Drosophila melanogaster: one gene and its partners. The protein of the gene in region 1 interacts with the protein of each later gene in a pairwise test. Each region holds a gene or a part of one and is shown on either strand. Other genes may lie near its edges.

Region 1 (3,033 bases):
TCATTACATTTCAACCCTCTTGGCTGCTGTCACTGCCATTGAACCGCATTTGTTTAAAAGATTGATGACCAACAATTGACTGCAGGCCCGCATCCTTCCGCCCCCCGGTTGCTTTTCTCTTTGTTTTTTTTTTTTGTCTGCTCCTGACATAATGTGCTCAATATTTATGAGCCGCAGATCCGGACAGACACTTCAAGTTTCCCGTAATCGAAGATGAAGAGCAATGAGCACGGCCATGACCTGTAAAACTTGCGGAATGATTTCATTAATTTAATGTACAACAATGTGACTTGTCACTTGTCAACTTTTTGGTCGAAACTTGGCCGGGGATGGTAAATCAGTTCATATTAGTCTAATGCCCCGAGGGGGGGATAAAACTCACTTAGTGCCGAGAAAAGTTTGCCGACAACATGTCATTGATTTCATACACGCTGCATGCCCAGGACGCAGGACTCAGGACTCAGGACACAGGACACAAAAAGGACAGGACAAGGATCTTAAAAAGTGCCGCATGCAGGCTACGATGCATCATCATGGTTGTCAGCCACATTTACTCGACATTTAACTTATGCCAAGTGCAGATGCGATGGAGACGACGGCTACGAACAGGAAAACGGAAAGGAAGGATGTGAAGTTCCGGGCGGGCGGTTCTAATTGTATAAAAGAAAGGCTGAGCTTCTCGGAATAATAATTTACGACAAACTAGTTATTCTTCTACTTTCAAGAAGGTAGAGCTTACTTTTCTATTTACTATATTTATTAAATCAGCAACCATTTTCCAAATGAATCATCTGCGGATTTAAGATGCTTACTTCAACAAACGCATTTTCCGAGCAAATAAGCCATTCCGGAAAAACAAATTAAGGATGCGCAATCGACACGAAATAAAGACCCTAAAGAACTCAGTCAGCTACTTTATTACCCGGAGAGATATTGCCATCCCATCCCGGGAAAATTGGAAAGACCCCAGCTAACCTAATGACAGACCACCCGAACACCCTTACAAACGATATTACTACAGACTTTTACGACACTTTTCATTAGCAGCCACACTTGCTGTTGTCGCGGGTAGCCGGAAACTTTCTTTTGTATGTTGGAAATGTCTTGGACCTGGTGGCAGTGTCTTATTTTCCACACACCCCTAGTGGGAGTTATTAACCCTTAACCACACGTTACCATTTATAACCCGAACAAAGTGAACCGAGCGCGTTAAGCTGACAATGGCAACAAATTTTTTTCCTTTTGCCGTCTATTGTGCCCGGAAAATCTGGTGGCAGCCACCATTCAATTGTGGTTCTTTTCCTCTTTGTCTGCGGTTTATGGCTTTTAATTCGTTCTGAGCCTCGATTCTTAAGGGTGCCCAAGTGAATTTCGCACTGACATCAACGGATATTGTGTGATAATTGCCACAAGAAAAATATTCGACATTTTTAGAGCGTACATTTCGTTTGCATTTAAATGGGAAAATTAATTAATCATTTCAGATTTGTATTCATTTAAAACACTTCAATTGAGCAATATGAAAATTAACCGATCGAAAATGTATATTTTAAGTATCTTAAGTGGCTGATAAGTGCTGATAGATAGATACATATAAGTACTTTTGAGGTAGGTAGATTGATTACACATTTCTAGATGATAGCCGTATAAAAAAAAGGTATTAGATAGTTGGAGTGGGCAATTCGATTAATTTCTGATAAGACGTAGTTTTCAGCGGGTATATAAACTGATCTTCACTACTGGCCGAGAAAATATTATTAATTGGACAGTAAAATGAAAGCCATCACCGTTTGCCTTTTGGTTCTGGTTTCGGCCACCTGTCTGCTGACCACGCGGGTAAGATTTGCCAATTAAAAAAAAATTAACTTAAATATAATAAATATTTCTTTGTTTCAGGCCAATGCAATAGAATTGCTGGAGAACGAGAACTTCGACTATGATTTCGACTTTGAATCGGAATTGGAGCAGTTGCTGGATGAACTGGACAATGACACTGACTACATGGATGTGGAGGCACAGGGCTTTATTAGAACATGCCTTAAAATCCTTCGCAAGGCATTGAAAACGGTTCGAGGCACCAACTGTATTATCAAGGAGGTGACAAACATCCTTAGTTCATGCACCAGCTATGTGGATGCTATTGATGCCTGTGGCACTGCCATTCCCAAGGATGTGGCCAAGATTGTGGACTCCGTTAAGGAGATTATCAAAATCTGCGACGATATTTTGCATCTGCATTCGAAACTTTGTGCCACGGATAAGTCCGTGGGCTCGTCCATCAAAAACTCGGCCAAATGCTTCTGGAAATTGTTCAAGGCATCCATGAGGCTGACCCGAAAGATCAATAAAACCCTAAAACTGATTGCCAAATTGCCAGCCGATACCAGTTCCTGCTTCGTAAATGCCACCAATAAAGTTACAGCGTCCTTTAACTCTTTTCTGCCCAACATTGATGTCTGCATCGAGTCTATGTAAATATATTATTATTAAAAAATAAAAAACTCTTAAGCTTACAGCAGATTAGATTTCAATTCTCGAGCCTTTGTTCCCAACAACCTATGAACAATAATATAGTGATTTGATTGAAAATAAATTTTGTTTCATTATGATAAGATAACTTCAATTTCCAACTATGAGCCGAACTGAAGCGATTCGATTAAGATTCGTTAATAAATACAATCGGTATCTAGAGAGGGTTCTTGAACAGCTTTATACTGATATGGAAAATTAATTGTAATTAATTATAAATTGCAATTAAAGGGATTTAACTTACGTCTCTGAATTTATAATAATTTAGCATTTTTTAGCATTTAGCAAAAACAGATGTTAAGGTAACACTGAAAGAGCACTGTCAGAGTTGAAAATGTTCGTCATAAATTTAGAAATTATTTAGTTCGATTCGGGCACGACAGCACGAAACATGTCCCAGATAAACAATATATTCATTAAGCTGCGAGCTCGTCTGCGGGAGCGTGATATCAAGTTGTGGGAGGAGCCGTACTACTTCGAGGAGGTGGGCAGCATCGAGTCGGA
Region 2 (6,841 bases), on another chromosome or scaffold:
GTTGATAAATATCCCCTGGAAATTAGGCCAGGGTGGCATATTTTTGGGGATTTTGCCAGAACTGAGCACAGTGTTTAAATTTAGACTTATGGTTTAAAAGGTATTCTGGAGTTGCGTGCTATTGACCTCGGTGCTCTGAAACTGCCCGGTTTCAGCCTCGAACAGCACCTGCTGGATACGCAGCTTAGCCACGGACCGAGAATATGAATCCGGAATGGTTCGCAGCTGAGAGGCGATGCTCTGGCCGAATATAATAAGATCATCCTCTCCGGCCGAGTCCAGACTTGTAATGTACTTTGATTTTCGTTGTGCCATCGTGTGAGGAAGCTGCTGGGAGCTGCTGCACCCCTGAGAATAGTGCTCCTGCTGTGGTTGATCCGCCAGGCAGAGCGTGGAATCATCTTTGCAGATGCTTGCTGTTGGCCTGCTTTCCTCCAAAGGACACTCCTCCGGCTCGCCATTTACCTCTGCATCCTCTTCCTCTAGCGCATCCTCGCTCATAGTGATATCTGCGGCGGCAGTGCAAAGAAGCTTGCTCGTCTCATCCGATTTGATCGTCGTTAATTGAGCACTGGAACTGTTATTTTTTCCCTGCTGGTGGTGGGTCAGAGGTTAACATTGACATAAGAACATCGTGAAATCCTACCCTTTTGCAGTGGGAGAGGGAAACGGAGCGTAGAAAGGAGTCGGCCAACCTAAACCAAAACAACTTTGGTTCGTAGGTCCTGCCCAGCTCCTTCTCACGCATCCAGATGCGCAGCTCCTTAGAGTACACGGTACGCACGCTCTTGATCTTTAGCTTTATGTCCGACACTGTCAGTTGGGGTATCTTCAGGGACCGGATGATCGCTCCGTAGGCCTCCTCCCGGGACACACGATTCTTGTACGAGTCCAGCAGTGTGTTGTAGAGGCACGGCTGGCGACGGTATGCCTCCAGGAACTCCGTGATCGGGATCTTAGTGTCGCTCAACTTCGACATGACCAATTCCTTTTTGGACCAAAGGAAAACAACTTCACAACACAACTTTTGTTTACACTTGGTTAGTGAGGCCAGACGATGCGGGACTTGGACGTGACCGAATTTCGAAGGCGTTATCTGCTGATATATCGTTTAGTGTCCAAAACAAATATTCTAACGTTCACTTCAAGCTATTTAATATTTATAGATATTTTGGAAACACTTAAAAGAATAAGTTTGACAAGTATTTCAAATTTTTATGAAATTGTCTCAGTGTCTCAATTTCTTTGTACTGAATACAGCATATCAATATTATATTACATAGAAATATATAATGCATTCAGCTTTGAGCGAATCAAAACTATTGCTTTTATGAAATTAAACTTATTTATGCTATTAAATATTATATGTTTCTTTCATTTTACAAATTATTTAAGACTTGAATCGTAGCGATACTAGCTGATCCGCTGGCCCTGCCAGTGTGCCCCTCGCCCGTGTGCCAGTGTGACCTTAACGCATTGGCGACCGAATCCTCTCCCGCTTCGCGGGTTCCGTGCCAAACGCCATCGCCACCACGTGGAGCCTTTCTCCCGTTCTGTTCCGTTCAGTCGTCTCTCTCTTTTTCTACCGAAAACGGTAACAGGCAGCAGGCACTTTTCAGCAGCTGCTCCGTGCGTGCGTGTGTGTGTGCGAGATCCGAACCGAACCGATCTGTTCCGTTACGTTCCGTTACCGTAGACGTCGCCGTACCGTTATCCTTCGCGAACTTCAAAGGACACTCCTTTGCACTGCTCTCGCCCATCATCCTTGATTGTCAGTCAAGTCCAATCGACGCCAAGGTGAGTAATTGCACACCGTCGTCGTCGTCATCTCGCCGTGGAAAATTCAATAATGTGCGCAGCGCAACACACATGCAATTTTACCATTTCTGCGACTGCCTGACTGTGTGTCTTTGCCTGTGTTTGTGTCCGTGTGTGCGTGCTGTAACATCGGCCAGGTGTGTGTGGGTGCGATGGAGGTGGGGGCAATTGATGGTGACAGCAGATCGTGCAATGCAGTTTTTCCGCGTTTCCTGCAACTTCCAACTGCCATCAATGGGCTCCATTGTGAACAGTGTGTCCCAGTGAATCATGCATCCCATTCAGACATCCCGGCCGTACGAAGAAGAGGAAGAAATATGCCCCTCGGCAACAGAGAAAGAGAGGGAGAGCGCGTGTGAGGGAGGCAGAATGCGGCACAGTGGAGCGCAGACAGCACAGTGGAAATTTTTGAGTTTTTGCTGACGCTGTCTAATTTTAAAATTGAGTTCAGATTTTATTTGTTCTTTGTTGAAACAGTTGGTTACACGTGATCTATGTGTATGCAAGTGTGGGTGGTGAGCAAGGGAGGTAAAGAGACAGAGAGCGAATTCCAGGTGGCCTTGAACGTGATCCTGTTAATTGAACTGTGCTGCCCATAGAAATAATGGCGGGAAAAGACCGGGCACAATGCTTCCAAGGATCTGCAAAATGTCCATCAAATGTATTTTATATAAATACGATAATTTTATAATTTATTAGGATATGTTGACAACAAGTACCACTTTGTTTGATTTATGACTTCAAAACTAGGCAATGTGGACTTCTTTAGGTAGCTCACAAAGGGAAACAAACAAAGAACAATAGAACTTTTGAGTGTGCAAAGCAAACAATTTTCAATCGATATCTTGTACTTGACTATAAAATTTTTAATGTCTAAGTGCGAATGGCAAAGCTGCATTTATTTCCACTAGCTAACGGCGAATCGATATTGAAAGGGTTTAGATTTTCAGCTTTATTTATTTATTTAAAAAAAATCCTAAAATTGGTGTAAACACGTTTAAACGATTAGATCGGGAATACTGAATCGGTAAGGTAATCAAAACGAAAAAAATGACGATCTTGTGTCTGGCTTTCGTAGATAAGGCAATCAACCACAACATAACTTGAAACCTTTTCCGGTTCTACGACCTTGTGGGAAATGTGTAACCCTTTCCAGGGACTACTACTTAAAAATAAAACATTTTCAAAAAATATAGAACTAAAAAAAAAAATAGTTTGATCATACTGTCATTACTGGCAACGACTGAATAACACTCACAACAAAATCCCCCTAAATAAGATACCGATTTCGTAAATTTGCAGCCGGAATAATGTCATCCGCCGCGAAGAAACGGGAGGCGCAGAAGAAGAAGGATGCGCGCAACAAGAAGATCCAACAGATACCCTCCACCAAGAAGGCCAATGGTGTCCCGGAACGCGAACTGACCGAGGAGGAGAAGCTGTGCGCCAAGCTGGAGGAGGAGGCCCGGATCAGTGCGGAGGCCCGATCCTGCACCGGATCGCTGGCGGTGCATCCGCGTTCCCGTGACGTCAAGATCGCCAACTTTTCGATCACGTTCTTTGGCTCCGAGCTGCTGCAGGACACCATGCTGGAGTTGAATTGCGGGCGTCGCTACGGTCTGATTGGCCTGAACGGATGCGGTAAGTCCTCGCTGCTGGCCGTGCTTGGCGGCAGGGAGGTGCCGGTACCGCCGCACATCGACATCTTCCACTTGACGCGCGAAATCCCGGCCAGTTCAAAGAGTGCGCTGCAGTGCGTCATGGAGGTGGATGAGGAGCGCATTAAGCTAGAGAAGCTGGCCGAAGAGCTGGCCATGAGCGAGGAAGATGATGCTCAGGAGCAGCTGATCGACATCTACGAGCGGCTGGACGATATGTCCGCCGATCTGGCAGAGGTCAAGGCGGCCCGCATCCTTCACGGTCTTGGCTTCGACAAGGCCATGCAACAGAAACAGGCCAAGGACTTCTCAGGTGTGTAGAACTCTCCTTGTGCACGAATTCTTTCGTCAAGTGTAACGAATTTGTTATATTTCCCCTGCCCTCCAGGTGGTTGGCGTATGCGTATCGCCTTGGCCCGCGCGCTGTTTGTGAAGCCCCATCTGCTGTTGCTGGACGAGCCGACGAATCACTTGGATTTGGACGCCTGTGTGTGGCTGGAGGAGGAGCTTAAGACATACAAGCGAATCCTGGTGCTCATCTCGCACTCGCAGGATTTCCTCAACGGTGTCTGCACAAACATCATTCACCTGACGGGCAAGCGACTCAAGTACTATACGGGTAACTATGAGGCCTTTGTGCGCACACGCATGGAACTGCTGGAAAACCAGATGAAGCAGTACAACTGGGAACAGGACCAGATTTCGCACATGAAGAACTACATTGCTCGATTCGGTCACGGTTCCGCCAAGTTGGCGCGACAGGCGCAGTCCAAGGAGAAGACGCTGGCCAAGATGGTTGCTCAGGGACTCACAGAGAAGGTGTCCGACGATAAGGTGCTCAACTTTTACTTCCCATCGTGCGGCAAGGTGCCGCCACCCGTGATTATGGTTCAGGTTGGTTTTTTATTTAAATGATTTGGTAATGGTTAAAGGTTTCTAACTAATGAAATGTATGCCGTAGAACGTGAATTTCCGATACAACGATGAGACACCGTGGATCTACAAAAATCTGGAGTTCGGAATTGATCTAGACACACGTCTCGCTTTGGTTGGACCCAACGGAGCTGGCAAGTCCACGTTGCTGAAGCTGCTTTATGGCGATCTGGTGCCCACCTCCGGCATGATCCGCAAGAACTCCCATCTGCGCATCGCCCGCTACCACCAGCATCTGCACGAGCTGCTCGATTTGGATGCCAGTCCGCTAGAGTACATGATGCGTGCCTTCCCTGACGTCAAGGAGAAGGAGGAGATGCGCAAGATTATTGGTCGCTACGGCCTCACTGGTCGCCAGCAGGTGTGTCCGATTCGCCAGCTCTCCGATGGCCAGCGGTGCCGCGTGGTGTTCGCCTGGCTCGCCTGGCAGGTGCCCCATCTTCTGCTACTTGACGAACCCACCAATCACTTGGACATGGAGACAATCGATGCGCTCGCGGATGCGATCAACGATTTCGATGGCGGCATGGTGCTAGTTAGTCACGATTTCCGTCTGATTAATCAGGTAAGCTAACTTTTCCTTCACGAATAGTTATCACGTTTGTAATCGCGCATTCTTTTGTTTCCAGGTGGCTGAGGAGATTTGGGTATGCGAAAAGGAGACGGTAACCAAGTGGAAGGGCGGCATTCTGGACTACAAGGATCATCTGAAGAACAAGATCACCTCCGAGAACGAGAAGAAGGCCAAGGCGGGAAAGTAGATATATCCCATATCCAGTGGATAGATAGCTGCCAACGGCCACACACTCGCACACACACAGTCGCGCATCCAAAACACCCAAACACACAACCAAACGCATCCCTCAACCGAAAGGACATTCAGACCGCTATCCCTTCTCTTCAATAGGCGGCGGGCGACATCCGGCTATTGGGCTGCCCGTTCGCTGCAATCCATTCTGTGCGAAATTAGTTTTGCGTTTACTCTACGCTATAGTGAAGTCACAATTCGATCGGCCAACCAGTAAAATAATCAACAATAAAACTAGAACGAACCGAACACCCAATCCAAACCTATCCAATCACAACCATGCGTAACACAACCGTTGACAACTCAACAGGAACACACAAATTTTAGCTGAATTTTTTCTTTTTACGTGTCGAATTAAAGTTATAAAATTATAAATATATACAATTACGAAGTGGACAGGCAGAAAGAACTATAACTTATAAATACAACCAACCAACTATATACAAAACTGCTTGTGATCTTGCGCTTATATAATTTCGTTTAATTCTTCGCTAGGTTTCATGTAAACATATATATAAAAAATGAAAAGTGTACTTTATTTTTTTGTAATTTATTTAAGCCTTAACTATATATTTAAAAATTAAAAAATCTAAACTACAACAACAGACGTATGAATGATTAAGCGAATAGTAGTCGCAGCAAATTGTGTGAGAAACGATGTTAAACTGCCCTCCCAAATCGGAACCGTGATTTAGTTGCTCGCGGATTCGAACAAGACAATTAAATATTCTTCGATTCGATTTAAAACACAATGCAAAGTAAATGGAAATTGTAACAGGCTTAGGAAGGATTAATGGGTATTACATGAAACGTACATGCATACATATATGAAAATTTACAAATTACATAAACAAACAGATATTATAGGATATTTAACAAATTGGAATTGTAAACTCCAGCGAAAAACAAAAAAAAAAAAAGTTTTGTAAGCAAACACAAAGAAATCACGAAATTCGATTCGGAATATCAGTTGTGGCACCCGAAGAGTGTCGCATTAATTAGCTAACTTAATTGAGAAATTGCTAAGAAACAAAAAACAGAAGTTGCTTGACAAAGGTAAAATAAACAAATTAAATGACCAAAATATTGCATTACTATTAATAGGGGGCTTCATAGAACATCTGTTGGATTGATTAGAAACAAGTTGGTGGTTTGTTAGTCATCTTTATCTTCGCACTATCATGCGCATTCCTCTTCATTTATTGTACAAATCACAAATCCTATTACATTTCATTGCGCTTCGCACCTTCTGTTTATTGCTGCATTCACCTGGTCATTCGTTTGTTAATTTAATTCAATTTTTATGCGTGTAGGCACGTTCAAAGGTTAGTTGGTAGACTTGGTTACACTTAAGCGATAGTTGCATGTGTCATTCTCATTCAGTGGTAATGATCCAGTAGTAAATAATGTACAGTACGATCTTAGGTCTAAAATCTAGTAGCTTCGGGCCAGTTCTGCATGCATCACCGCCAGCAGCTGCCTTTCCATGTCGCTCAGCGATCCAAATTCGGCTCCAAAGTCGCGCAGCAGGTGCTTTAGATCGCACATTTTACGCTCCACCCAGGCGCACGTAATCTCCGCCAGCGCATACTGCTGCTGTTCGGGCACAAATGCTCCCGGACGC
Region 3 (4,861 bases), about 17 Mb from region 1:
CTACTTATTACAAATTATGCCTTGAAAAATTACACAGTATACAGAATTCCGAGTCTTTGCCCGCATGGAGGTTGTTTCTTCAGAATCGCAAAGATTCCCCTTTGTCTGTCAGCATTTCAATGGCTTCTGTTTAGCCGTAGACTCTTCAACGCTTTTCTTCACTGGGTTGAACTAATCAACAAGTTTCCCCCATTATTGATTTCAGCGGAAAAGCTTTTTCCTTCATTTCGCCACATCGGGTCGGGCCACACATATGAATGAAAAACGAAACATATAGGCACCCTGGGACTGGGAAATAGTTTACAACGCCAATTGCGTTGGGCTTACCAAATAAACTGGTCCGGAATGACTTTTCTTAATGACGTCATGTGGCGCGCCTTTTGGAATAGAACAGAATATGTACGTACATTCATATGTACATGTGTTTTTTTTGTTTTGTGAGGTTCCCCACTGGGGCGCTTTACACGCAATAAAACCGCTTTTCATTACTTTTTTTGTTCTACAGAAACAGAATTCTTTGCACTGCTCCCACATCCGCCCCAAAGATTATAACAAAGCATCTATATATATACTGTATGAGGTGCACACACGAGTAGGCCCACAGTTCATATGTTCATAGAATGCTCTCCGAGATTTCTGGCCGATCATCTTTATCAAGGCCACGATCTATATACACATGTAGAGCGACAGATTTGTGTACTTAGCAACCTTCTGGCGCCTAATTGGAATTTGATTTGTTTTTCCAGCTCGATACACTAGGTGTTAATAGGGAGGGATCTTAAGTGAGTGGTGCCCAAGTTTATTACTTTCTGGTTATCAACATAAATTATAAGTAATTATTAGTAAACTTTATGATATTGACTCTTGGACGTATTTCAAAACCGAACTGTTAGTGGAAAAACTACCCTAAAAGAGGTGTTCGTTCCAAATGTATGTAATATTTATTTTGTGGCTTTTCTATAAACTGAAGGACTGGGGCTAATGATGGCTCTCATGTTGCATTTCATTTAATTAAATTTAAAACCGCCCCCAGTCCACTCGATAATAAAGTGTTTTTGGGGTCGACATACACGCCATGGTGACATCACAGCCTCGGTGTGACCGGCTTGGTTGGGATTGGTTTTATACGAGCAAAGCCACCCACTCGATTGCCATCCACATCCACAGCCATCCACATGGGCAGATGAAAGTCTCTTTTTTGCTCTTTAAGTATGTATATTTTCAGTCATATATCAATTTGAAAATATTGCCAAACGATGAGTCGGTCAGCCGTCGAGTGTACAGTCTGCGGCTCTTTCGGCTGATTCACCGAAGATCACGTATACGCACCATTAGCTCTGAAATCCTTGGGCGTCGTAGACCAACAGTTGGTGTGCCTCAAACTTCTGTATATGTTTATTCACTCACTCACTCACTCACTAAGTCGACCGACGATGTTGTAATGTAAACAGTTTATTTACTGCCTGCTTGCCACTGTTTCTTGCAGTGTAATGACGTCAATACGTTAATTTTCAATCAACTTTTTTCGCGCACAGACCAAGTAGAATATCGTCGGTATGTGGAGCACTTCTTCGACAATTGTTAAGCAAAGTATGATATATTTTTGTTCAAATATATTCACACAGTTCGTACAGGAAGTTCGAAATTATATCAATTAAGTTACACAAGTTCGTCGGAATAGAAGTGAGTTATGTTCGGTTCGTTTGGGGAGTATCCTAATTAGTTGCAATCAATTTGAATTGTAAATTAAAAGAAGTGTTCTATACTAGGTAAATTTCGTTGCTCGGCGATAGCAGAGATCTTTCGTTTCGGCCGGACACCGATTGACTAACTCGGCCTCTCGAGCTTTCGCAAGCTCTTTCACATTTGCCTCCATTTCCATTTAATTAAAAGGAGCTTTGCCATTTATTCATGCACTTCTTGGGGTTATGGGGTGGCAAAGCTCGGGTCTGTGTGCGTGCCCCGAAGAATGGCCGACGTGAAGCCGGAAGAGCCCATCTATTGAAAGCCGAAGATGTTTTCCTCCCGGTTCCCGACTTCATAACAAAAAAAAACCAGTCGCGTGTTTATTAATAACCAAAATATGCACACAACCCGCCACGAAATTGGTCAAAATAACAAACAGTGAAATAAAAGATATCGGAACTTCAGGTTGATTGGATATTAATTCGGTATAAGTTTGATAAAGTAATGATAAAATTCAGTTAAATTGTTATATCTGTGTAAACATTGTTATAAGTACTTCCGCATGATTAAGGCGCGTTGCTCAAACATATATCAGCACAAAGCATTTGTGCTAGTTTAAGTTTAAGAGCAATCTGAAGACGTGACATTAAAGCTGTTGAAACGTGCATCTATTATTATATGTTTAGACCAGAAGTAAATAAATTTGGTAATAAACATACTTGCAAAACATTTAAGTTGCTCAACTTTTTTATAGTCTTTTTATGGCAATTAAAATTTCATACTTTTAATTTCGATTTAAATGCCAAACGTATTGCGTATGAATATCTTTATGTCTATAATCCCCAACAGCTGAAGAATCTTCACAAATCACATACAAATTTGACAATCGCCTTAACGACGCGATGAATGATGGACACAATTAGAACACATTCCGATTCCAGTCAGTCAACACAGGGGAAATCTAAATAAAAGCACAAAAGGGGAACAAACTTTGCACTTTGATTTGAGTGCCTTATCGTGTGGGAGCCCCACTTCACTTTTCTTTTTCTTACTCACTATTTGCATTTTTCATAGTCGGTTCAGCATCCTGATTTGTTTCATAATCACTCGGCAATTGTCTAGTATCCGGTTAGTATCCATTGGCATCCCTTGTGGTTCGATGTCGTCGTTAAGAGGAGTCTTGGGCAACTAAAATTCCAATTCCACATGACCGAATTAGATTTAGAATGCTTTCTTTCATTTAAACCTATTTGCGGTTGAATGTTCTGGCGTTTTGGCCTTTCAAATGACTCTTCTATTTTTCATTTAATTGCTGCTCGGTGCACAACTCACTCAAGTTGAGCGGTAGGAACAAACTGAAGATGCGGCGCACTTTCTAAAATGGAATAAGCGACATGCGTGCGTGCATCGCCAAATTTATATAAATAGAAGGAATCACAAATCTATATTTGAAGTTGGGAGCAATTTCAAAAAACCGCTCGCCGGTCAAGAGTGACGTCATGGAGCCATCGATAACTTTTTCGATAACAACTACCAGCTGCATATCATATTAGTTTAAAATGTTCATCAAAAAGTGTGGAAACTAGCTTTGTACCATAAAGTTAAAAAATCGCAAGATAGAAATAAATAGATAGTTTTTTATGAGTTAGGATTTCAAATTTCATTGTAAAGTGCGACTAAGTCCCCAAACGTTCACACTGGCTGCAAGCATCGATTAAATACAAAATAACAACGATTAATCGATTGGCCCATTACTCATCGCGGAAAACGTGAACGAAAAGCAAGTTGCCGCCTGTCTGCTAGGAACTTTATTGTTTTAAACTGTAATACGTGCTAAAGGCCAACCCCATCACATAAATATGGTAAGTCCGGCTGGAAATAATCCGAGGCTAACCAAGTGAATCCCAATCATGGACTCGTCCGCGAGCGGCATGAGATTGTAAACATAACCTGCAAAGAAGCTTCTCGCAAGCCGACGACATCTGCTGACTAATTGGAGACTTTTACTATATATTCGCCTTATATCCGTATGATCCGCAGCAACCGCAAATCGTGCTCCTCAAAGAAGGCACTGACTCGTCGCAGGGCAAGCCGCAACTGGTGTCCAACATCAATGCCTGCCAGTCGATCGTGGACGCAGTGCGGACCACTCTGGGTCCCCGCGGCATGGACAAGCTGATTGTGGATGCCCACGGCAAGGCGACGATTTCCAACGATGGAGCCACCATCATGAAGCTGCTGGAGATCATCCACCCGGCGGCCAAGACCCTGGTGGACATTGCCAAGTCACAAGACGCCGAGGTAAGTGATTGGCACCCCTGAGACGCACGTGACACTGCTAAAGCTTTGATTCGACTTCTCCTTCAGGTGGGTGACGGCACCACGTCCGTGGTTCTGCTGGCCGGCGAGTTCCTTAAGCAGGTGAAACCCTTCGTGGAGGAGGGAGTGCACCCACGAGTCATCATTAAGGCCATCCGCAAGGCCCTGCAGCTCTGCATGGAAAAGATCAACGAAATGGCCGTCCAAATTGTCGAACAGTCCAAGGACCAGCAGCGTGCTCTCCTTGAGAAGTGCGCAGCCACTGCCATGTCCTCCAAGTTGATTCACCAGCAGAAGGACTTCTTCTCCCGCATTGTAGTCGATGCTGTGCTCTCCCTGGATGAGCTGCTGCCCCTCAACATGATTGGAATTAAGAAGGTGACCGGTGGCTCGCTGGAGGAGTCACAGCTAGTGTCGGGTGTGGCCTTCAAGAAGACCTTTTCCTATGCCGGCTTTGAAATGGCCCCCAAATCCTATGACAACTGCAAAATTGCCCTGCTCAACATCGAATTGGAGCTTAAGGCTGAGCGCGATAACGCCGAGATCCGCGTAGACAACGTCAAGGAGTACCAAAAGGTGGTCGACGCCGAGTGGCAGATCCTCTACAACAAGCTGGCTAAGATCCACGAGTCCGGCGCCAATGTTGTCCTCTCCAAGCTGCCCATCGGTGATGTGGCCACACAGTATTTCGCCGACCGCGACATATTCTGCGCCGGCCGCGTTCCCGAAGAAGATCTTAAGCGCACCATGAAGGCTTGCGGTGGAGCCGTAATGACGACGGCCAACGACATTAAGCCCAATGTACTCGGCCTGTGCGAACATTTCGAGGAGCGCCAAGTGGGCGGCGAACGTTTCA

What was found.
Region 2: the proteins of CG5107 (region 1) and CG9281 interact in a two-hybrid assay, tested with the Drosophila melanogaster proteins (one large-scale study listed by BioGRID).
Region 3: the proteins of CG5107 (region 1) and Pif1A interact in a two-hybrid assay, tested with the Drosophila melanogaster proteins (one large-scale study listed by BioGRID).

Annotation. Positions count from the first base shown.
Region 1 is NT_033777.3:25,503,444-25,506,476, forward strand, and holds CG5107 (uncharacterized protein), read left to right. Parts: upstream 1-1,747; 5' UTR 1,748-1,773; coding exon 1,774-1,836; intron 1,837-1,896; coding exon 1,897-2,475; 3' UTR 2,476-2,488; downstream 2,489-3,033. Other genes in the region: CG5111 (uncharacterized protein), read left to right, coding at 2,921-3,033.
Region 2 is NC_004354.4:15,705,262-15,712,102, reverse strand, and holds CG9281 (uncharacterized protein), read left to right. Parts: upstream 1-1,563; 5' UTR 1,564-1,797; intron 1,798-3,058; exon of another isoform or gene 3,059-3,120; 5' UTR 3,121-3,128; coding exon 3,129-3,789; intron 3,790-3,864; coding exon 3,865-4,370; intron 4,371-4,437; coding exon 4,438-4,974; intron 4,975-5,038; coding exon 5,039-5,170; 3' UTR 5,171-6,297; downstream 6,298-6,841. Other genes in the region: CG15601 (uncharacterized protein), read right to left, coding at 94-594, 647-979; Hap40 (Huntingtin-associated protein 40 kDa), read right to left, coding at 6,652-6,841.
Region 3 is NT_033777.3:8,798,133-8,802,993, forward strand, and holds the start of Pif1A (PFTAIRE-interacting factor 1A), read right to left. Parts: upstream 3,045-4,861; 5' UTR 2,743-3,044; intron 2,648-2,742; 5' UTR 2,562-2,647; intron 1,813-2,561; exon of another isoform or gene 1,330-1,812; intron 1-1,329. Other genes in the region: CCT7 (chaperonin containing TCP1 subunit 7), read left to right, coding at 3,546-3,548, 3,727-3,987, 4,054-4,861.